Linked DNA regions of Oreochromis niloticus. The protein of the gene in region 1 interacts with the protein of each later gene in a pairwise test. Links are inferred from orthologs where the notes say so. Each region holds a gene or a part of one and is shown in the gene's direction. Other genes may lie near its edges. The genes, in order: mad1l1, rnf8 and usp15.

Region 1 (7,758 bases):
TACATGTGCTGGGCTAATGGGATACAAAAGTAAATACACTATATCATTTTTTGGTCATTTCTAACAAAAGAACAGTAATGCCATGTAAATCATTATAAGCATATTTATAAACCTGGTTTTAAGTGGTCAGTGTTTTGCTCATTCTAGCCAAATTCTTTAGTCTATAAATTAGGCTGAATCTACAAAAACCCAATAATGCAATGCTGTGCTTTATTTTTGAGGCATGAAATAACATGATTGGCACTGATGCATTGTTTCAGGTCTGTTATTTACCCGCTGATTAATTAGGTAAATGTAAAAGAGTAACACATGGAATGTTTATCAGCTATTTTCTGGCCTGTTGATAAGGATGAGGAGGATTATTGCCTTTTAAAAAGTGACTATCGAGAGAGCCTGAAGCGGTTCATTTTGACTTCACAGCCAGAAAATGTCCAAAAATGAGGTGATTTTTTAAAAAATACTAAATGACAGATTTTAAAGTCTGTGATGTCACTGCAGAGAACAAAAGCATTAATTAGGTCCAACAACATGAGTGAGATTCGAGAAATAAATATCACTAGAGTGACTAAGAATAAATTCACAGAGAATAGATCTTTGAAGGAAGCTTTAGTGTCCAAATCAGAACAGGTCATAAAGTGTTCACTTCCATCTGAAGTCGACAGCTGTGCAGCCTGCTCTGGGGCAGGATGATTTAATGGAGGAGTACGAGTACCTGGGCGTCCACACTGACATAGGCTGAAATGCAAGCCTAACACAGAGAAAGTGCACAAGTAGGGGCTCTTTTTCATAAAGAAGCTGAGATCCTTCAATATGTTCAGCAAAATCAGTCAGCTGTGGCGAGCACAGTGCACTTTGCTGTGGTCTGCAAGGGAAGCTGGTGACACCAACAGACTGTATAAACTGATTAGGGAGGATAGCTCTGTGATTGGATGCAAACTGGACACTTTTGAAGCTGTGGTGGTGAGGAGGTCACTAAACAAACTGTGTTCAACATGCATAATGCATGCACCCTGTGCACCACTTATTGGACAGGTAGCAAAGGACCTTCTCTAGCAGGCTGATTCAGCCCTGCTGCTAAGAAAAGATTTAGGAACTCTTTCATACCGCATGCTGTCACCAGTAATACATCATGTGTGTCTGGTACAGAGTCATCTGAATAATAATGCATACTATTCATTTTAATATTGTATATAATATTATATATATATATATTCAATTCTTGTCATTATTTTTTGTCACCTGGCTGCAATGCTGTCTCTTAGCTTCCAGGACCACAGCACTCCTGGAAAAGATGCGAGTGGATACCAACTAATTAATTGTCCCTGGAAGATGTATGGCACAGCAGACCAGTGAAAAAAGCACATCATATCCACAGACTGTGACCTGCCCACAGCAGCACCCTCTTCAGCAACCAGAGGGAGCAGCCTGACACTGAAGAAAGAGGTGTTTTTACAGTCAAGATAAACAAGTTTCAGCAGGAAGAATGAAAACACAGATTTATGCACATTACAAAACATTTTTAATAACTTTATCAAAGTGAAATATTTTCAGAAGCAACTGTATGACTTACCCTTTTACATATTTATAACAATTTTAATGGTTTGATGTTGAAGTATATAAAATGATTCTATCTGAATTAATTTTGCTCATTTTGCAAGATCCTCTTTTCTCACTGATGATGGACCTTTGTAAACGGTGAGTGTCACATTTATTGAGTCCTTTTTCAGAATCAGCTTTGTGGAGATATGCTTGGATGAGTGCCTATATTTCAGTAATGTTTTAAAATGGCTAGATATGAACATTGGCTCACCGTGTACAGTTTTGGCTTTTTTTTAAATGGGTTATGAAACTGAATAAAAACAGAACAGAAAAGAATTTGGGAGCTGTTAAAGTAAAAAAGAAGAGAACAACTTTAATATACATCATCGTAGTGTGATTCAGAGTGTTATAGCCCAGAGTGAATGTGGTTTACATCACTGTTTATCTGATCAATCAATCACCACTTTAGTTATGTTTCTTGAAATGAATTGAACTCAACTGAATTAATGCAGGAAATCACCACAGGATTTGGGACGCTGGTAGATAGCAAAACAGCAAAGTGGCTATTCACACTAAATTTTGAAGAACAATAATTTAATGGAATAAAATGAGTACATGGAACACAGTTTAAATTAAACTACTATCATTCTCACACAACCTGAGGATCTGGAGGCATTCAAGAATTTGTAACAGGGTGGACACAATTCGACCAGGGGGCAGTAGTCCCCTAGTTTGAGCCAAGTCTCAGTGAAACAGAAAATGTCTAACATGTGAGAGGTGATGGAATCGTTAGGAACAAATGATTTATTGGACAAAGATCTGCTGTTAAAAAGGGTGATAATTGCAGGAGAGTGAGGTTTCAGACACATAGGCTAACAGGACACAATAATGATCGGGATCAATAAAATGACTCACAAGGCTGGAACCATCATTGGCCATAATTTGGAGTCAGTGAGGGACAGGAGGTCACTGAACAACTTGTCTCTATCATGGAAAACCCACCACACCCACTCTGCTCACATTTCTGACATAGCCAAGCTCCTCCTTCACCAGACTGACCCAAAACCCTGTCACCAGATAACAATGCTTCAGGAAATTATTCCTACCGATCTCTGTAAAACTGCAAAATAACTTTTATTTATGTGATAGCTGAACACAGTAGTCCCAAACATATTACATAGTGTATAGTGTACATATTTATTAATGCAATTTGCACTAAGATTATTATTAAACCTGGGTTTACAAATATGGTAAAGTGGAGGTGGTTGACCTCTAAGGGTAGTAGTGGTATAACAGAGGTTGTGCAAATGGTAAAATTCTATCTAATAGTAATAGTAAGAAAACAGCTCTACCCGAATGGTGCCGGAGTTAACAGGCTTTTCCGAGCATAATTGTATTTATTATTAGAAAACCAGAAATCAGAGGGGAAAAACAAACAATAAACAAACTAACAAAGAAACACGGGGTTTTAATTAAACAGTGCACGATTTATTCGTTTTCCCTATAAAAACAAACAAAAAAAGTTTGCTTTTGATACTCGCGATGGTACCAAATCTCGCGATACTACGTGCATCCCATTCGAGCTAAACTGGAGGGATTTCTGTAGTATTTAGTGAGCAGCTAACACGTTAGCAACACCGAGATAACCTATTTGCAAATAACTCGCTCCTTAAAAATAAAGAAACCAAGCCGGCTCAGAGGTGAGGACGTATTCTTACAAGCGATACCCATTTGTTTGCTACTTAAACGTAGCGTAGGGGGAATAGCTGTAGAAAACAGTCATGGTAAACTGAACTCTTGTCTAGCCTGTGGTGATACAGGAGTGAAGCAGTTTAAACTGTTCTTAACAAACCAGTGAATACCTTCTTGAGATAATTCTTGATAATTGCCAAATATGGCAACTAACGTAAACATTAGCTTTTGGTTAAGCTACTAAAGTTGTTTTCGTGTTTGTGCAGCTGAGCAAAGAAGCTAATACCACTTTTATCTTACTTTGCACTTTTACGTAGTTAATGCTAGGCACCTGTCTGCATATAACATTAACCTGTTAACATTTTTATCGTAAAGTTATAAAGCATGAAAATGGTGCACTTTAGAATTACTTAGCTAAACTTTACATGGCCGTTGTGAAGTCTTTTTTTTTTTTTTTTTTTTTTTTTACTCGTACTGTGAGCCTTTCGTTTGTGTGCTGCATCTTCCAGAATGGATTTAGAAGACGACACGACCATTTTAACAACCCTGAAGTCCTTCAATTCCTTCATCAGCCGCCCCGAACATCCACAGCGGCTGTCAGAGCACTCAGCAGGGAGTGGAATCCTGCAGAGTCAGTACAAGCGCAGCATGGAGGTACATACAGAAACTGTTTGCATCAACAGGGGGCAAAAAAGCTGAACAAAAATAGCATCAGCATTCAGCCTCCGCACTTACTAGCATATCCTTCTTTTAGCTTTTAGAAGCAGCAGAGAGGGTTCACTCCAAGAATCGCTACCTGCAGTTGGACCAGGAAAAGAAACAGATGGAGCTGAGTCACAAACGGGCTCGTTTTGAACTGGAGAAGGCAGCCTCAGACAGCGCACGAGACTTGGAGGTACATGCCATATATACTCCTTTAATACCACATGAACAAAGCATCAGATAGCTCACCACCTTGTTATGTTGCAGCATGAGGTGGATCGGAACCAGGAGCTTTTGGGACAAATAAAAAAGCTGGAGGAGAGAGCGGAGGAGGCGAATAAGAAGCTAACAGAGCAGAAGGAAGCAAATGATGCTCTCCAGATGAACCTGGAGGGTCTAAACAAGACACTGGAGGAACGAGATGATAAGCTTGGCGCAGCTAACCAGGTGCACGCATGCTTGTAGATTTGCACGCACAGTTATTTTGCCAGTCTGGTAGTGCCTCTTATCTTATGCTGGATTACCTCTGTTATCGGTTTGCAGACCATCAGCTCTTTGAAGGATGAGATCAGAGAGCTCAGGCAGAAGATTCAAAACCAAGACTCAAAAATCTCTGGTCAAACGCTCGAAAACCAGGAGTTACAGGAAAAGCTAGATTTGCAACAAAGGTACACACACACACAGACAGGGACTGACACTTCTTTGCTCTTTTTCATGCTAAAAAATATTGAGCTGTACTGCTTAATATAAATGCTGACCATGCAGTTTTCTCTGATTGCTGTTATGATCAGGAAGTATCAGGAAGTCTCTCAACTTTGCCAGAGTCTCCAAGCTGCGCAGTCGTCATGCTCTGAGCACATAATCAAGATTAAGGTACGAAATGCTGTCGCTTCTATTGGGCTCCTTGGGTTTCACTTCAGAGTTTACATGGTGTACGGATTTGTCTGTAGTTCAGAACATTCCAGTGTCCACAGTTCATGGAGAGGAAATAGTTGAAATAGTTAAGAATAGCAGTTTGTACATCTTTGCACTGATGTAGATGGTGTGGTTAAACAGCGTTATGCAGCTCACTCTACGTCAAATGTAAACCTACTAAATATGATTACGATTTAGACTTATAACCAATGCAGGCAAGATCATGTGCAGTATATCTGTTCAATTTTCTACATATCAGCTTTTTTGTTCAAACTACCTCTCTCCTTCAAATTGCATAATATCAGTTTAAATGTATTTTTTCCCCTCATAACATACACTTATTGAACATACCATTTTCAGCACCTTCAGAACAGCCTTAATTTTTCAGAGCATAGATTCAACAAGGTGTTGGAAACATGCCTCACAGATTTTTGTTCATATTGACATGATGGCATCACACAGTTGCTGCAGATTTGTCTGTCTGTTGGACTGAGGTCTGGGGGCTGTGGAGTACACTGTCATGTTCAAGAAACCAGTTTGAGATGATTTGGAGTCTTGTGACATGTCATATTATCTTGCTGGAAGAAGCCATCAGAGGTTGGGTACACTGTGTTCATAAAGAGACAGACATGGTCAGCTACAATCCTCAGGTAGGGTGTAGGTTTAAATGATGCTTAGTTGGTCCTAAAGCCCCTTTTCCATTAGTATTCACTCGGATCAGCTCGACATCGATCAGGCAACATTTTTCTAATCTTCTGTTGTCCAATTTTGGACAATAAAAGATTGCTGAGTCGTTGCCACGTGATTGGCTGATTAGATATTTACATTAATACAGGTGTAGGTGTGTGTGTGTGTGTGTGTGTGTGTGTGTGTGTGTGTGTATTACAGGTATTTGTTTCCATAAAGTGAATACAATCTGAAAATTGTATTACTGGTGAATTTCTCACTTTCTAATTTGGCAGGAGTTGGAAAGGCGGCTTGCGTTCCAGGAGCAAGACTTTGCCATTGTGAAGACTATAAAGTCAGAGGCGGCCAGAGTTCCAGATCTGGAAAAGGAGCTGAAGCGCCTCAAAGATGATAATGCCTACCTCAGGTTAAATACATTTTTGAAGTTTCCTTAACATGTAAACTCATTACACTCTAGTGCAGGGACCTTTCAATCCACAAGTTCCAATTCACACACATATACCACAAGCTCTTTTCTTTAACAAGTGTTTTTGGTATTTGTAATATGTGTTTGTGCCTGTATCGTCTCTAAAACCTTACACTATATGTTTAGGTTGATTCTGTTTGTACCACGTAGTTTGGATGTTACTGGGCATTAATGAGCATACAAGCACTTTGAAAGATTAAGTTGGATAACAGAAGATCCATTTGTCAAGTAACAGCCAAACAGCTTGTCAGACTAAGTGGAGAAATTCAGCAGTTGGTGTGTTTATCCACTTATCCTTTCTGTTGTATTACAGACATCTCAATTTAAAGCACGAAACTCTTTATACTTTCTCAAGATAACAGATTAAAAATTTTGCTGAAAATACCATAACTGTAACTAGGAATGTTCCTTATGCTATTCATAAGTCGATTAAATGGGGGGCGTGGGGGACTGACCAGTCTAAAAGTGCTCAGACAATCAATATACTGGCGACCTGTCCAGGGTGTACCCCGCCTCGCCCTATGACAGCTGGGATAGGCTCCAGCGCCCCCCGCGACCCTGAAAAGGATAAGCGGAAGTGAATGGATGGATGAAATTTGTGACACTTTGTGCTGTGCATACACATGCACATTAGCTTGCAAAGTGTGCCAGTGTTTTGCAGCTATCTGTCCTTGCAGATAAACCTTCACACACTTCACACAGTTATGTATTCTCCGGTCGAGTGTTTGTGTGTGTGTAACTGTCTTGAACAGGAACAAAGCTAATTAACCATTTTTTAAAATTTATTTGTTTATTTTTTAAATTGGAATATTATATTAGTAGTGTGGTGAGGGTGTGAGGGGACATGCTCCTCACACTCTGCCCATCTCCTATAGAAAATTAGTAAGGAAAACAAGGAAGGGATGTGCATAATGGAAAGGATCATCACACTAAGATTATTCTGGCAAGACTTAAATGGAATTCTGCAGAGCTGCACTGGTTAGGAGGACTATCACCCTTCTTACTTGTTTACATGTTTTGAGACAGAGAGGGTGACTGGGGGGCAAGGGGCTGCCATTTACTGAGAACTCCTGCTTATCATCTCAGGGCCAACAGTCGACTGGCATACATGAATGAAAACTCAATAAGTACTTGTTCATATTACTGAGTACTGCTGGTGCTGGATAGCAAGAGGAGCAAATATTCCAGGTTTAGTCTGGGAAATGTGCCTGAAAAGAAAGACCATGTGGATCAATCAGGGTTTGGTCTGATCTTCCAAGGCGAGTCTATTGTCTGGTCTCTGATGGTAGAGCAGTCCTCAAACTGTGGGGAGAATCTTGTTTCACATTGTCTGAAACAACAGAAGGAAGATTCTTCTTATATCTCCTAATCAGTCTCTATTGTCTGGACCGAGCTCTTTTCCCTTATTCTTTCCTCCTCTGCAACCTTTGCATTTTTTTCCCCCTAATTTCTACCGGCTTGTGTCAGCATAATCAGCTCCCTGGTGTAAACAATGTGAGCTGGGCAAAAATAGTGTTGTTGATTGAAGTGGGTAATAACATGGCCAAAACATATCGGAAGTTTCTCAAGTAGAGTTCACAGAAAAGTCACCCTAATCCAACAAGTGTGACTAAAGTAAAGAAAACATGAACTAGTGAGAGCAATATATTATAGCTATAATGCACAGTTGGTACATTGTTACGTGCATTTGTCGTCAGTCACTGTAATGTTAATATTGTTGAAAACGGGTTTCAAAATTGCATCCGAGTGTGACTGCA
Region 2 (7,758 bases), on another chromosome or scaffold:
ATACACTTACTGGTTTCCAGTTTCTTCAGGTCTTCTAACTTGAACTCTTCCTTTGACTGAGTGCACTGAAGAAACCCAGACAAAGGATATGTTCAGTATTTGTTTTTCCCCAGGAAGTGAATGTATTTTTTTTATAGCACTGTGCAAAAGTCTCGAGCCATCCCTAATTTATTCATAATGGGAAAGAGAAAAATGTTTAAACATACAGCATACAAGGCAAAAACAACTCTAACGAGCTTGAAAGTCAAGATTTATGATCACTTTCTTATGGTTTCTTTAGGCAGTCTTCAGAAATAGCTCTCCAGGCTTCTTGAATGACATTTACAGCTCTTTCTTGGAAGTTGGTCGTCTTCTGTTCAATGTGAGACGATCTCACACTTATCTCACATTAATGTTGAGCTTCAGGCTCAGGGGAGGTCAATCCATGACTGACGGTGACTCTTTGTGTGTTTCTGTATTCAGGAATACTTTTCCTGCATTGGCAGTGTGTTTGGGCAGAAACATAAAGCCATTATCAAACACTTTCTGGACGGACCAGAATCTGATTGTACTTTTCTGTGTTCTTATTCCATCGATTTTAACAAGATCCCTAACACACACTGGCAGAAACGCAGCCCCAAATCATTACAAGGTTTTACAGATGGGTGTAGACACCCACCGCTACACCTCTCTCCTGACCCCTTCTATACTTACCGATGACGATTTGAACCAAAAATGTCAAACTTGGATTCATCACTCCATAAGACCTTTTGGCACTGATTTTCAGTCCAGTTCTTGTTTAAGTTGGCATCCCTTCGCCTTTTCTCCCCGTTTCCTTTCCTTAAGAACGCCTTCCTGACAGCCACCCTTCCACTGAGACCATTTCTGATGAAGCTTTGTTGAACAGTACAAGGCTCAGCTGAAGGGTCAGATGGATCTCTCAGGTCCTGTGTCAGGTTTTTGCTGGATTTTTTCCTGTTTCTTAAGGCTTTGAAGCACTGTTTTGTATTTCAGGCCTGCCACTTCTTCTTTTCTTCTATACTTGACACTTTTCCATATTTTATTTTTTAAGGACACTTTTTCAGTTAATAGCTCTTTGGGAATCAGTCCAACAAACACAATTTTATGCCTTTTAAAACTCAAAGTGTCTAAAGATAACATTTTAAATTGTTTCTTTGCTAAGTTGCCTGATATGTGTAAATACAAGACCGTTTTGTCCCTTGAATTAGGTGCCTTTTTATGCTTGAATGAGTCACAGGTTAGTGTTAAGTGACTTAACAAGGAAAAACTTCCCTTTGGAAATGGTCAGGTACAAGGACCATTGGCCAATGTCCAAAGACAAACTTTGAAAGACCTTCAGAAAGCCTGGAGAACTATTGCTCAAGACCACTTTCAAAAGCGTTATATGCATAAGTAAAACTGCTGATGCTCAAATTTTACTTTTATATAATAATGATGACCTCAGCATCTCTGAAAACCTGGACATTGCCTCCTTTCTGTAGCTACTAATCATGCAGACTCCTATACAAACCTGCAAACTGGCACTTCTCATCTCCAGACATGTTGCAATCTTTGCCAGAGTTTTCTTTAAAAGAAAAAAAAAAACACTTGTTAGTTTAAGTAAAGTGACAGACACTCCGGTGCAGAAGCTGCAGGCGGATGTAATGATTACCTTCTGCTCTTCGGTGAAGTCTGATGAATTTGTTGACTGGACTTCTTTTTGCAGTTGTCTTGCCAAACTACACGAACCCACATGAAACACAGACGCGTTAATGATTCACTGCAAGACCCTGCAAGACTCCTATAAGGTAAGGTGTGTGTCTGTGCGCCCCCCTGCGGACAGTAGAAGCTGCTGCATGGATCTGGATTTTTGTATTGTTAGTGCAGTTTTAAATAAACTATTAACTGGGAGAGAAGCTGGGCACATTTTAAGGAAATTGCAAAGACAAAGATCTGGTCTGAGAAGCAGAAACCATTCCTCACTCAGCAGATGAAACCCACCCATAACAATGAGAGGGTGTGGCTGACTGTTTCCCAACACTCTGAGGAATACTGGCCCGTTTCTGCATTGCATGACACATAATGAAACAGACTGCTCGCAGCTCCGACCGATTTTCCATGACAGGCTACATGGACGGACTCTCCCTTAAACTCCAAAGTGCTGCTGTGGACGGAGCTAGGATGCATCAGGCAACACATCTGCTCCCCACTGCAACAACTGCCACATCACGTCATGGATGGGTAGGGTTTATTTACTGCTCCGAGAGCTGACTGACAGCACACGGGCTAACTTCTTGCACCTACTGTCTCCTACATGTTTCCCTGCAGATTTTAGGGACAGGCGACCCAGAGAAAGGAAAAGAATAAAAAAAAGAAGAAGCACAGCGCCCGGACTGCGTTCGGGTTAAACCAGCGCTGTGGACACACAGGACACACATGTTGAATGCAACTTACATTTGGTACTCATCTATAGCCTCCACTAATTGTCCCCACGAGTCAAAGTCTGTGCCTTTCTTAAAACTGGCGTGCCATTTCTGAATAGTCTTGTTGACATCAGACATGTTGGCGGGGCGGATACTCGCGGCGCTCTCAGGGCAGCATAGCCGAGGAGGAGATTCATCTACGGGGCTTCAGCGGCAGCGGAGTCGTCGGCCAGGTCATCTGCTGTGCAGAGGCGCGCGGATAGACCGGTGACACCCCGACCAAGCCCTTTCTGCCTGCTCACCCTAATATCAGCGCATCCGCAGGAGAAAGGAAGTCCCGCCTGGAGCTCGGGGTGCGCGCGTTTCGGGACTCGGGGTCGCCCGAATGGACGAAGAGCACCGCGGCGCGTTAGAGGTTTGAGAGCTGCGGGGAGAAAGAAGAGCTATTTTATTTAAAGGTGCAGGGATTTTTAACAACTGTATACACCAGCAACAGTTATGAAGCAGTACTACGGTTAAAATACTGCAAAGTAACAATGTTCATGTTTGGCTGTTTGGGTTTTTGTTGTTGTTGTTGTATTCTCCACTTTTTTCTTCTTTTTTTTTTTTAGGTATAAGTATCTTTCACTACACTGCTTTTGAATGGTAAATAACAGTAAACACAAGCTCTAACGAAAAAACAAATAATATTTATAATAAAATACAATATGACTGTGACTGTGTAATATCAGTGTCAGTGTCAGTTTTATTTATATAGCACCATTCCTTACACTTATACTCAATGTGCTTACCAAAAGAGATAAAACAAAAGAAATTATAGACGTCTACGGTGTCTTGAGGCAATACAAAATGCAAACTAACAAACACAAACTTATTATATGTAGGAATAATTAAAAGGTTTGAAGTTAAACATGTGTTATTACAACACTAACAGGGTCCACATGATTACTTTTTATTATAATTATAAATTATTATAATTCTTGACCTTCAATTGTAAAAGATTTGTTTTTTTTTCCTGAGGTGAAAATGAAGTGGAGAGGGTAAAAAAAAAAAAAGAGTATTTCAGTGTTAATATAACTAAATGGGTGTATTTACTTTAAGCAGCTGGTTCAGGGTAAAATTTAAAAGTGTTATTTCATTTATTTATTTGTCTTGATGGTTGCTCAGTCATGCAGGCAATTAAATTCCAGACCTTATTAGCAACTCTATAAACAGTATATTCGCATAATGCATTGTGTGAACTGAAGAAGTTACTTGAATGAGTGACGAAACATAAAACTCTACGTCTTGTTTTGTCCCTACTGTAATATGTTCATGGACACCGTAATATTTCTACTTTGGGTCTGCAAAAGCTGAATAAATTTTGAATTAATAAAAAAACTAAATGATTTTAGAGGGATCCAAGTGATTCATGGGCTGTCCAAAGATAAGCGTTGAAGCACATCTGTGGCCTTTATTTTGAAAGAAAATGAAATGTCTTCCGGTTTCTCCCAGTATGTCGGGATGTGGCGGAGGAGCTGAAACAACGCAGTTAGTGGTGTCCTTTCGGACGACTTGGCCGCTGATAGAATGAGATAAGATGGATAAAGAGACGGCAGCGGATTGCTGTGCGGTTGAAGACGATGAATGTCCGGACTCGGAGGTTTTTTGTCTGATGAGAGTCGGGAGAAACTCTGACTGGCTTCGCTTGTTCGAAAACACAGAGGTGCAGCTTGCTAATGTTAGCTAACGTGCTATATTTATACTAACATGAAGCTTGCTCAGGTTCACGGCAGATTCCAGTTTACATGTAGGGGGAACATTACCCTCAATTTATGGTTAATAATTTAGAATTGTTTTAAGCTGAAGAGTGTCCCTGTCCGTTTTTTATAGAACTGGAGAGATGCAGAGTGGAGCTAACTAACGTGTTTATTTTTGGCTGTGCAGATCACCATTGGACGTGGTGTGGATGTAACTTACCAACTACTGTCTCCAGCCTGTCCCCTGATGATCTCCAGACTGCACTGCACTTTCAAACAAAGTGAAGACGGCCACTGGACAGTGACAGACAAGAAGGTGACAACGAGCTTTATTGTGAAATATATTTTAAAGGCTGTGCTAGAGGTCTTTGGTACAAGTCCTGTGCAGGGATGGGCTGCACTTTCTCTAAGGGAGGCATGCTGACGTGGATAAAGTAAATAGAGCCACACGAAATTAAAACATGATGCACATATTACTAAATTATGTTAAACCCCATTAGTTTGGGAAGATCTAGAAGATAAGAATGGGTCCATGTTTTAAAACCCACCAGTATTATGTTGGCATTTGGTGAAGTTTTGAGTCAGTCTGGTTTACTGTGACATAAAGCCATAAATACACTTGAGCATCAGCATTGTCAACTTTTTTATGTATTTATGTGTTCATCACAAATAAAGGATGTCAGGGAATGTCAATTTTGCCCATTTGTGTTGTAGGAAGTTTATGTTATTCTGTATATCATTTCATGGTATTTATTTATCACGCTCATCTTTATATAATGGCAACAAAATAAGTTTTGCAAACTGTGCAACAGATACCACAAATTATACATAGACAAGTAGCAAAAGTTTCAAACCCTTATAACTCTAGCAACATAAGATGAAAGGTGGACAGCAATACCATACTAATCATATACTGTTTTATGTTCTGAGGTACACTAAAATGCAGAAGGCCAAAGGTTCAGGACTTTCAACAGCAACATTGAATCACATTAGATGTTAGGCAATGAAAATGTGAAATAGATTAAGTTAAAGCGCCAATATTTTACCATTTCTATTTAATGAACATTTCCCCAAAGATTGTTAAAACAGTGTGCATCCTTATGCAAAATTTCCATGCTATGGTATTTTACTTGTAGTCTAAATTGCTTCATCTGCAGTTTTGCCTTTCTTTCCTTACTCACCGAATGAAATCTAGTCTGTTTTGGCCCTTAACAAGTGTGTTAAAGTCCGGTTCAGTGTCAGCACTGAGGTGGGATATGATTAACTTTCTTAATGAGAAGGTCTGTTTACATACAAAGTTAGATTCAAAGAGGACCAACATCTTCTGTGCATGCCTTCTTATGTGTTGAAAGTTCTCCTTTTTGAGAGAAGAATTCAAATCCAGTGGTGATACTGACTTGAAGTTCTCTGCAGTAGGGAATCAAAAGTGCAACAAGCATCAGTAATGTGTTCATTTTTAGCACTGACTTATGCAACACATCCTGGTGTACAATACAATGGAAAAATACCAGTTCCAGTTATGGGTTCATTTCAGTGTCTTTATCTGGATCTGCTTAAAAAGTCCCAAATTTATCTCTGTCAGGTTTGGACAGCTCTCGGTTGTAACACCTGTCAGTTTGTTCCATTTCAGCCTCAGCCTATCCGAGTGTGCAGCTCATGAATAAATCACTCCCTGTCATACTTGCTTTCATTTTGCTTTCTGAACTCAACTATGTAGTCTTTGGTAATCTCATGTACAAAAATTAATAATTGCTGTGCTTACTATTTCACACCAGCTACAGACTGAAATGTCTATTACATACCTCCCTCATCACATTGAGTTTATTATGGGTCACATTAATGGGGCTTATCGGTAACAGCTTTAATCTGGGTTTGAAAGAAGTTTGACGGAAGCTGAAGCCAGATTGTTGCCTCCAGCCGTGTCTTTTCCTTTGCGTCTATTACGTTCCTGCAGCATCAAACCGCTACAGGATCTACCCATGAGCCTCTCAGAGGAGAGCTAAAAACATTAACTCATGTGGCACAAGACAGACTGGATCAATCAGGCTCTAACACAGAATGATACTGTGTACCTGTGTTTACACAGCATCTCAGTTTTATATTTTTAGCAGCAGCTAAGCAGCTATCAGAATATAACTGGTACTGCAAGTTGTAGAAATCTTCATTGTATTAATCTAGGACATGCTGTAAAAATCACATGCCTACTATGGCTCTGTGCCCATCCCTTTTGTATGTTTCTCTGAATGAAGCTGTGGTGGGGAACGTTAACGTGGACGTGACCTACAGTCTGAACGGCAGAATGACGTCATTGTAAAATGTTGCATGTTTGAAAAGCGTTTCAGTGTCCTGGACACGAAGGAGTGGACTCACCCGCTGAGACGGCTCCTGAAATTGTTTCGGTGTGAGGAAATATCCTTAAACAGTTTACTCTCCAGCATGTGTAAATGTCTTGGAGACAGGATGTTTAAGTAGTGTAGGCTTGTTGTGTGAACATCCTGTACAAGACACATGGATTACAAACAATCCACAGTACCTTCGTGACATCTTTTGACCACCTCTGTCATGCCCACAAAAGGAAAATTACTCCTGTCTCCCAGCTGGGATACGGCTCTGGGTCACACCAGATGCTACAAAGTCCAAGAAATTTAGTGGGTCACTTAATATTTGCATGTGCTGCCTTTCAGCCGTGTGATGAGTTTGTATTTTAAAGGCCTGTCCAGGGCAAATTAGTTGAGGCGATAAATGCTGCTGGTTTTGTTATCTACCTTGTGCACAAAAATTATAATTTTATAACTAGTCAATATTCCTGACCCTTATCCATAAATGCCTTTTTACAGTCTTGTTATTTCCAGCAACTGGCAATATGTCTGAGCTTAAGTTTGGGCATTTAAAATCTCAAGTTAATTCAGTTTTAAGTATGTTTCTGTACCAGTGTATTATATTGGTTCTGTTTTTTTTCCTCAGAGTCTCAATGGTGTGTGGGTGAATGGAACTCGTCTGCCTTCTGATGAATCCCGTCAGCTCAGGCTTGGAGACTCCATACAGCTCGGAGTTCCTGTAATTGGAAACAAAGCAGAGTTTGACTATGTCCTCGTCCAGGAGCCCCTCAGAGACATTAAATGCTTCCTGGCAAAGAAACTGGTAGAACGAGTAACTTCAAAATCTGCCCACATATCTAAGAAGCCCAAGAGGAAATTGACCATGGAAGAAGTGGAGCCATCTACTTCGAAGCCCAAACTCTACCGCTGCTCTTCTGCAGACAAGTCCTTGGCAGTGCCCTGCCCTTTATTTCTGCTAAAAGGTCAGCAGCGACTCAGTCACACAAAGCCAGAGGGAACCGGACCTGGCAGAGATGACCGTCAAGCAGAACGACCTTCAGATGGCTCCAGCGCTACCCGTGACTTGGACAACTTGCAAATGTAAGCCAGAGTAACAGCAAGATAAGAAATAAATGTACCCAGTAATAAAAGAGTGAGTTAAAAATACTACTCTGAAGTTTTGTCTTCCTGTGTTTATTGTCTGCAGGTACAGTCAGAACATTCTGCTCTTAAGGGAGCAGGTGGATGACACCCAGAGGCATGTCGCCTCCCTGGAGGGGGAGCCCCGACAGGCTGACC
Region 3 (7,758 bases), on another chromosome or scaffold:
TCTAAATCGTGTTTTTCCAGGCGCTGATCGCTTTTACGATAACATTGAGGATATGATTGGTTACCGGCCAGGACCGTATATCAAGTGCTGTTGGTTGTTCTTCTCCCCTGCCACATGCATTGTGAGTCTCAGTAAAATAGATAAAGTTCCCAAAATGACAATAAATGTTCTATTAGCGAAAAAAAAAAAGAGGAAATAAAGCAGGTTTTTGATCCTCACTAATTGCCGTACCCTGTTACCTTGTCTCTGCAGGGCACCTTTGCATTCTCCCTCATTAAATACACTCCTCTGAAGTACAACAATGAGTATGTGTACCCGTGGTGGGGATATGTGATCGGCTGGCTGCTTGCTCTCTCCTCCATGGTCTGCATCCCACTGTGGATGGTGTATAAGATCAGCACCACCCAGGGGACACTCAGAGAGGTATGCTGATCATCCTGTCAGTGGAAAACATGCGCCCAACTCGTGTGCTCCCGATTTTAATCTTTGTTTGCTCATTCACAGCGCATCCAGTTGCTCATCAGACCATCTGACGACTTACCTAAAACCAAGAGGGAGCAGGAGAGGTTACTGGCTATCTTTGCTCCAGAGGTAGACACCACCAAGACTACAAATGGCTACTTCCCGGTCTCCGAGGCAGACTCCAACTTGTGAGGCTTCAGTGGTCTGTGGGATCCACTGACTTTAATACATAACATACATGGTGGACTCAGGCGAAAGTAGTGGCATGACGATTTTTGAGTGATAAAATAGGGCAGAAGAAATTAAAAAAGTAGCCTGCCATTTGAATTAAGAACTTTCAGAGTGGAAAGGAGAGTTTTTCAGGGACAAAAGTAATTTAGACAAACTTGTTCTTGAGTCTGGGAATCCATCGGTAAAGTTTATAAGTAACCCAAGAAAAGCAAAGTCATGGGAGGAACAGCTGAATCATTGGATGTTCCATAACACTTAGAGAGCAACTTCTTAATGCTCCTTTATGTATCTGACAACACTGCATGGCTGTTTTGTCATATTTGTATCATATTGTTATGTTGTGATAAATAACTGCAGAGGTTTTCCTTTTGTATTTAGGGAAAATGAGATTATGCTTAACAGTAGACATAATAGGATGCAGAATAAATACTTGGAAATGCAGAATACTGATATGGACTAATATGGTATATAAACTGTAGTTTCATTTTTTGTACTGTAACGTATAATGACTGTACAAAGAAACATTACTGTTGTAAGTGCGGATTGAAAAATAAACTTTGTAAGTTGTCCTGAACCATTTTTTCTTTGCTCTCCGAGGGGAACTTCCTAAAGTCTGAAAAAATAATCCAGATTCGGGGATGTGGATGTTAAGCATGGAAGCTTTAAGGGGGGGAAAAAAGAGTCGCATAGTCTTTTTCACAGCAGCCATTGTTCTTTTCTGCTTAGGCACAGACCTTTAACTAATGTGATCAGTAACGCCTGTGTTTACCTGCTATTTAAATGGAAACTCTGGTGGATTAAACACACTATTATCTTACTCAGGCTTACACCTATAGTACCTCATTCCTTGTGTACACTGGCTTGTAATACAACTGGATTTAAAACAGGTTGGTGCTTGTAGGTGAACACTTGTGACAATAGCACTAAAGGAGTGCAAACTTCTACTTCAAAGCTCACCTAAATGCTTGCTGGGTTCATTTCTCTAAAACATGTTATTCAAGTTGGAACCTGCAGCAAAACACCACTCTTTGTCAGGTTTAAACCACAGACTATATATAAACGTAGGATGTAGTTACTGCTGAAAAAGTGAAGCCACTGTGAAAGTGCCTTACAGCTGCATTGGTTTTCATAGCTAGCAAGAGAGAGCAATAGTCACTGCTAAATACAACATGAAGTTCATTTTGAAAATTATGCTATTTTCAATTATATAATTATATAATAAGTTTTTAGTGTCTGTTGTCTGGTTTAACAAAACTTGATGGAGTTGAGTAACACCAAAGGTATGTTTCAATCCACACACTTGTGTACAATCTTTATATTAGAAAATGAATAAATACAAATGAATACATTTGGCTGATACAAAGGGACATGTCACATGTGCATGTTGGGTTTTGAGACTCTTCAACTTTAACTTTGTACAAATCCACAAATGCATGCAGCATTCAAGTGCTAGTGGAAAACTGGAGCATCTGGGCTTCCTGTGTCTTTTGAACATGCACCTGCTGCTACAAATGTAACTTTAAAAAAAGAAAATCAGTCCGTAACAATCAAAAGTCTCCAATTTTATGAAAATGGAGAACAAATCACCAACAAATCACATCAGGATTTTACTGATATGTTTTTTTTTCTTCATAAAATCATGTTCTATAAAGTGATAAAGTATAACATCTGCGGACTTTGCAAGTGCTTAGCTTGTATAAAGTATGCTATTAAAGGTACCCGTTTAGTTTCAGTTACTTTCCAGAGTTGGATTATTGTTTACAGTTAGTTTTTAAAAAAATATATTGTTATTGCTTTATTAATATTGACTGGTTTCTGTCTTAGTTATTATTATTATTATATGAGCAGTATTTGGCAAAGGTAAAATTTCAGAAGTTCATAATCTTCTATTACAGTGGAACTATTTGACTTGCAGTCATGTAGAAATCCCAGTCTCAGTGAACATGTGCACCACTGTGTCACGATGTTGAGTGTGTTATCAAGGTACACCTGAGTAGCTATTGCAGGAGTAGGTTTGTAGATTGATCAATAGCTCGAGAGATACTTTATTTTATAGTCCTTTGCAGGAAATTATTGTTATGGCAGTTAAACACAGACATAACATGGCACAGCCCAGCAAAACAATATTAATTCATAATAAAATGAAAAATATATAAATAAATAAAACAGCTATGTGCAAATATGCAAACGTGGATACAATCATATTATTTTTATTATTGTACATTGAAAGAATATGAGCTTTCAATATTCATTCAGATTTTTCTTTTGTCATTTGTCAGCTTTTCTAATGTACATTTTAAAGATATTCAACTACTTTAGAGCTTTGAAAACTCAAATCATTGAGCTTTCAGCATTCAGACCACATTTTCTTCAGGAACTGCATTCACTTGTTAATTGTTTTCCTTTTCCAGGTGTAGGATATGTTATAGTGTGAGGTAACTGGCAGTTCATAAAACTCTGCTTTCACAGTACTTTTCCCAAAATTGCAATATTATAGATGGTTCAACGTTCAGATTCTTTATATTGGGATTTTCTCTTCTACAGTGTTCACGGAGTGTTAAAAAGTGTCACTTGTGTTGTTTCCCCTCATTGCTGGTCTTTATTTTTAAAGGCACAGTTTCTTTCTCAGCTGTAAACCCGTGCATCCACAATGATGGAGCACTTTTGAAACATTTTCTAGAATAATTTTGCCACTGGGTGTCACGCTTCCCCTGTGATGATTGGCTGCAGCAGCGGCGTCGCTCTCTACGTGCCTCTATGACGCGCCGCTTTTTTTCCCACCATGCACCGGGGAATGTCTAAGGAAAGATGGCGGAAGGAGGAGCGGCTGATCTGGATACCCAAAGAGGAGAGGTCGCGACACTGTTGAAAACACAACTAAGAAAGGGAGACACTTGGTAAGAATTGACTGTGATCTTTTCAAGGGCACTGCGTGGCTCTGGGCTGGGTCTGCTGAGGCTGTCAACCCCACGGAGGATGTGAAATCCAGACGGCCGGGCCGTGTTGACAGTGAGCTCCGAGCTAGCTAACGGCTGCCTGTCAGCTTCATGTGTCAGCTTGGCAGGCTAGCGCTGGTTGAGCTCACGCTAAGACTCAAAACAGTTAAACTAAATTTAAATGTTGTATTTTGGTGTTTATATCCTTCACTTCCAAAAAACGGTGTCACATATTTTCTGTGGATGTGTAAGGCTACATGCCGTTTGAGTGATACAGATAGTTATCAGGCTATCAGCTAATTGGCTAGCTTGCCGATGATCCAAGCGGTTTGCCTGTCAGTGGGTTCATCCGCCGACTTCAGCAGGGCGGAGTCGGAAAAAAACACCTGTCAAAATCACAGAGCCAGCTGGCTAGGCTTGTAGCAATTTGAACTCAACACGGCGGCTAAAAGCTACTGTTACAACTGTCAGTCTGTGTAATGTATGCCTCCCAAAACCAGATTTGTTTCGGGTACTCACTGCAAGGTAGCCCCAAGGTAACCTGGTTTATAGCCCAATACTTTAATGCAACCCACCACCCCTTTTATTTAACTCTTGACTTTCACATCTTGCTTTTAGTAGAGATGTTGTAATCTTGATTGCTTTCTCTGCAGGTACCTAGTGGACAGTCACTGGTTCAAACAGTGGAAGAAATATGTGGGATTTGACAGCTGGGACAAATACCAGATGGGAGACCAGAATGTCTACCCAGGACCGGTTGATAACTCTGGTCTTCTCAAAGGTAAGTCCAGTAATAGTCCATCTCTTTAGATCTCTATTTTATCCCTTCTAAAAGTATATGATAAATGTATGGGAAAGCAGTTTTTGGTAGGTTAGCTTTATGGACAAGTGACATACACGCACACAAAAAACATTGTCTACTAACCAGAGAGTAGCCTTTCTTTAGAGTGGGGTCATAGAAAGCTCTCCAGCTCACCTTGTTCTTTGTGTGTTATCAATAGTGTAAGTGTTGACCCACAGAATGTGCACAAGAGAACGTGCTTTCTCTTGTTTAACTGCATGTGAATGACCATCCCTCCCTCTAGATGGGGATGTGCTCGCCATCAAGGAACACCTCATTGATGAGCTGGACTACATTCTGGTCCCAACAGAAGGCTGGAATAAGCTCGTCAGCTGGTATGGACTCACAGAGGGTCAGGAGCCAATCGCTCGCAAGGTAAGGGTTCAGTTATTAGCATAAGATTATGAATGGATTTTTTTACATGTTGTTCTGCTGCCAGTTCAGATGGTTTTCTCAGATACAGAATCAGTAGATTTAATGTGCAGTGTGACTTGTGTTGGGGTAAAAGGGAGAACATTGTGCTAATAAGGCTGTTTGAGAAAATGAGACACGCAGCACTTTTGGAAAAGGAAACTTGAACTTGGGTCACTGTTGCTGAACAGTGATAGTGAAAGGCTCTATGATGACAGATATTTAACAAAAAGAACTGCAAAGAATAGTTAACCATTACATTCATTTTTGATATAATTTGGTTGGTCAGGTAGATTTACACAGATTTACTCTGTGTACACTACACAGAATCTCAGAAATAATAGTGAAAGACTGGGTGTTTACTTATCACAAAGAAATTTAAAAAAAAAATAAAGCTGCCTTTCATTCATTTCTTTTATGAATGAAACGCAGTATGTGTGCTTATCTATTTCCATATTAGCATAAGAGTATGTGAGGTTTGCTGGAGTAAAAAAAATGAAGAATTCCTATATGTTTGTGATTACAGTTGAATACTGTGTGATGGCACTTTTGCTATCAAAGCAACTCTTAAAATCTCGCTAGTCATGGCATCATGGCTGCTGGAAGCACTTCCTCTTCCCTCTCCATATCTATCAGTCTGTCTCTCGTCTCCCCCCCTACATTGACCCTCCTCTTTTGCCATGTATGTCATGCGGCGTATCGGGTAGCTGCAAGGTTTCTATTTTCAGGCAACGTTCTGGATGACTGAAAAGCTACATGGAGCGATCTGCGAGACACAACATGAAGGAGGTTTTCTTCTTCTTTTTACCCTATTGTTTCTATATTGTCAACTTGAGGGTGGGGGGTATGCTGGGGGGAACTGTAGGATTGTAGTCATTGGTATGACACTGTGGCTCCTTCCGCTTTCCACTTGTGGTTTGATTGCCAACAATGGTGGAGAGCTCCTGCGTCCTTGTTTTCCAAGCGGAGGAATGCCAGCTGAGGTCACACTGAGAGAAGCAGCGCGAAAGCTTTTCAAAGGAGTGTGAGGAGAGGCAAACCAGTATAGGAGAAGCGGCGTGGGTGGCCTAAATGGTTTTGGCTCGGCTTTGATTTGAGAAACTGTGTCAGAGCTTGGTGGTGAGTTGGACGTTGACTGAGCTCACAGACAGATGGGTGGTGCGCTGAGGTGTACTAGCCCACCAAGAGCCTTGAGTAGGGGAGGGTTGTGGTGCTGAGAGAATCTAAGCTGTGTGTGAAGGACTTTTGCAGTTTAGTAGCGTCAGTGTCTGTGTGTTGGAGGGGCTCAGGGGTGAAATAAATAGGCTGGGACCCCTCAGCTGTTTCCACGAGGTGCTGCTAATTTAGGCACTTCACTCTGACTGTGAAGTATCAGGACTCCAGATGAGTAGAGACCAGCGCAGCAGAGCTTAGTGTGCTTTGTTATCCATTTTGTTAAACTTTTTCTAGCACATTAAACTTAGGAGTTTGCTTTCAGTCTTGCAGGAATTTGATGAAAAGGAGATAAGAGTTGCATCATGATTATTTTTGCCAGGTTGGTGTCACAGTTTCTTTTTGGGTGCCTAAACTTCTGTCAAAGCTAAGCTCAGCCATGATAACAATTGGACAAACATCTTACAGTCAAAGGCTTCTGCTGGAACAACTCAGCCAAACTTGCCTCTATGTTGGAATCTTAAACATTTAGTTTTTCATGTTTTACTTCTGTCTGTTCAGCCTGACTTGTTACTGTTGTCTGTCGTGTAATGTAGTGCTACATTCCTGTTTGCTGATTAGTGGACGGTCAGATTGTGAGATTTTTACACAGTTAAATTGATGTTCCAGGGTATTTTTCCTTGCAAGGCCGTTGTAAGTGCAAACGTTAGACTTCTCTAAGGCAATCATTTCTGAGTTATCTACACAGTTCTTTTACATTGATTGATCTTTTTGTGTGGGACAGCCGAAAATCATACAGTATGCACCCATCTTAAGGGTTACTCATGAATTAGGGCCGTGTCCCTCATTCATTGCGTAATAATTTAACATTAGATAATCATGGTTTAAAGCAGTAAATTGATTATCATCCTCTTTTTGCAGGTGGTTGAACAGGGTATGTTTGTGAAGCACTGCAAGGTAGAGGTGTACCTGACCGAGCTGAAGCTCTGTGAAGACAGCAATATGGACAATGTGATCACCAAACGCTTCAGTAAAGCTGACACAATAGGTAGGCACTGCCTAAGCAGTAGTAAGCACTGGTTTCAGCAGAATTCCAAGGTTATAGGATCTCAGTTCACATTTCACACTAATTATATATAAATACATTTACTGTTTGTGGTATTTGTGTTTAAATTAATAGTTTTTCCAACTACTGTTGCCACATGATGATTTATTTCCCCTTTTTGCTGCAGGGAAAACAAAGAAATCTTGTACATAAAACTAAGTGTTTTTTTTGTTTTGTTGTTGTTTGTTTTTTGTAAGTATTATGCAGTTGTGACACAACAGATACACACTAGTAAATGCCATATTGTTTGCCAGTGTATGGATACTAGCTATTGTATCCTTGCATTGAAACATGAAGTAAAAACTGTTGTTTTGTTTCTGTTGTTGTTTATAATTCAGCAGGCTGTGCCCCCCAGCCAGAGCTAAAGAAAATAAAATGGAAATAAAATAAATTTTACGTGTTTTCAAAATGATTTACTCAAGCGTGATTGACATTTTTGTTTATTGAGTTAGATAACAGTAAAGTGCGAAGATTAAAAATACAGACTTGTGTTTATGTGCATGGTCACCCCACAAATTCTCATTCTGAGCCAGGAAAACATTCTTGGAAGTACAAATGATATACAACATGGGTCTAAATATACCCTTGGGATTTCAGATATTAGAATCACCTCCTGCGTG

Evidence for each region.
Region 2: the proteins of mad1l1 (region 1) and rnf8 interact in binary tests that used the Homo sapiens proteins (3 or more experiments, as listed by UniProt). The two-hybrid records come from large-scale screens. The link is inferred for Oreochromis niloticus from reciprocal best matches to the Homo sapiens genes MAD1L1 and RNF8.
Region 3: the proteins of mad1l1 (region 1) and usp15 interact in binary tests that used the Homo sapiens proteins (3 or more experiments, as listed by UniProt). The two-hybrid records come from large-scale screens. The link is inferred for Oreochromis niloticus from reciprocal best matches to the Homo sapiens genes MAD1L1 and USP15.

The regions. Positions count from the first base shown.
Region 1 is NC_031971.2:11,902,569-11,910,326, reverse strand, and holds the start of mad1l1 (mitotic spindle assembly checkpoint protein MAD1), read left to right. Parts: upstream 1-3,083; 5' UTR 3,084-3,239; intron 3,240-3,740; 5' UTR 3,741-3,741; coding exon 3,742-3,885; intron 3,886-3,985; coding exon 3,986-4,126; intron 4,127-4,200; coding exon 4,201-4,380; intron 4,381-4,476; coding exon 4,477-4,601; intron 4,602-4,724; coding exon 4,725-4,806; intron 4,807-5,810; coding exon 5,811-5,941; intron 5,942-7,758. UniProt on the Homo sapiens protein: Component of the spindle-assembly checkpoint that prevents the onset of anaphase until all chromosomes are properly aligned at the metaphase plate.
Region 2 is NC_031980.2:14,133,952-14,141,709, forward strand, and holds the start of rnf8 (E3 ubiquitin-protein ligase rnf8), read left to right. Parts: upstream 1-3,872; 5' UTR 3,873-3,981; coding exon 3,982-4,122; intron 4,123-4,328; coding exon 4,329-4,457; intron 4,458-7,105; coding exon 7,106-7,560; intron 7,561-7,666; coding exon 7,667-7,758. Other genes in the region: aida (axin interactor, dorsalization-associated protein), read right to left, coding at 11-65, 1,511-1,564, 1,652-1,718, 2,434-2,540. UniProt on the Homo sapiens protein: E3 ubiquitin-protein ligase that plays a key role in DNA damage signaling via 2 distinct roles: by mediating the 'Lys-63'-linked ubiquitination of histones H2A and H2AX and promoting the recruitment of DNA repair proteins at double-strand breaks (DSBs) sites, and by catalyzing 'Lys-48'-linked ubiquitination to remove target proteins from DNA damage sites.
Region 3 is NC_031981.2:6,281,346-6,289,103, reverse strand, and holds the start of usp15 (ubiquitin carboxyl-terminal hydrolase 15), read left to right. Parts: upstream 1-3,462; 5' UTR 3,463-3,501; coding exon 3,502-3,590; intron 3,591-4,282; coding exon 4,283-4,410; intron 4,411-4,714; coding exon 4,715-4,845; intron 4,846-5,578; exon of another isoform or gene 5,579-5,637; coding exon of another isoform or gene 5,638-5,670; intron 5,671-6,954; coding exon 6,955-7,081; intron 7,082-7,758. Other genes in the region: sodium- and chloride-dependent GABA transporter 2, read left to right, coding at 21-121, 253-423, 505-654. UniProt on the Homo sapiens protein: Hydrolase that removes conjugated ubiquitin from target proteins and regulates various pathways such as the TGF-beta receptor signaling, NF-kappa-B and RNF41/NRDP1-PRKN pathways.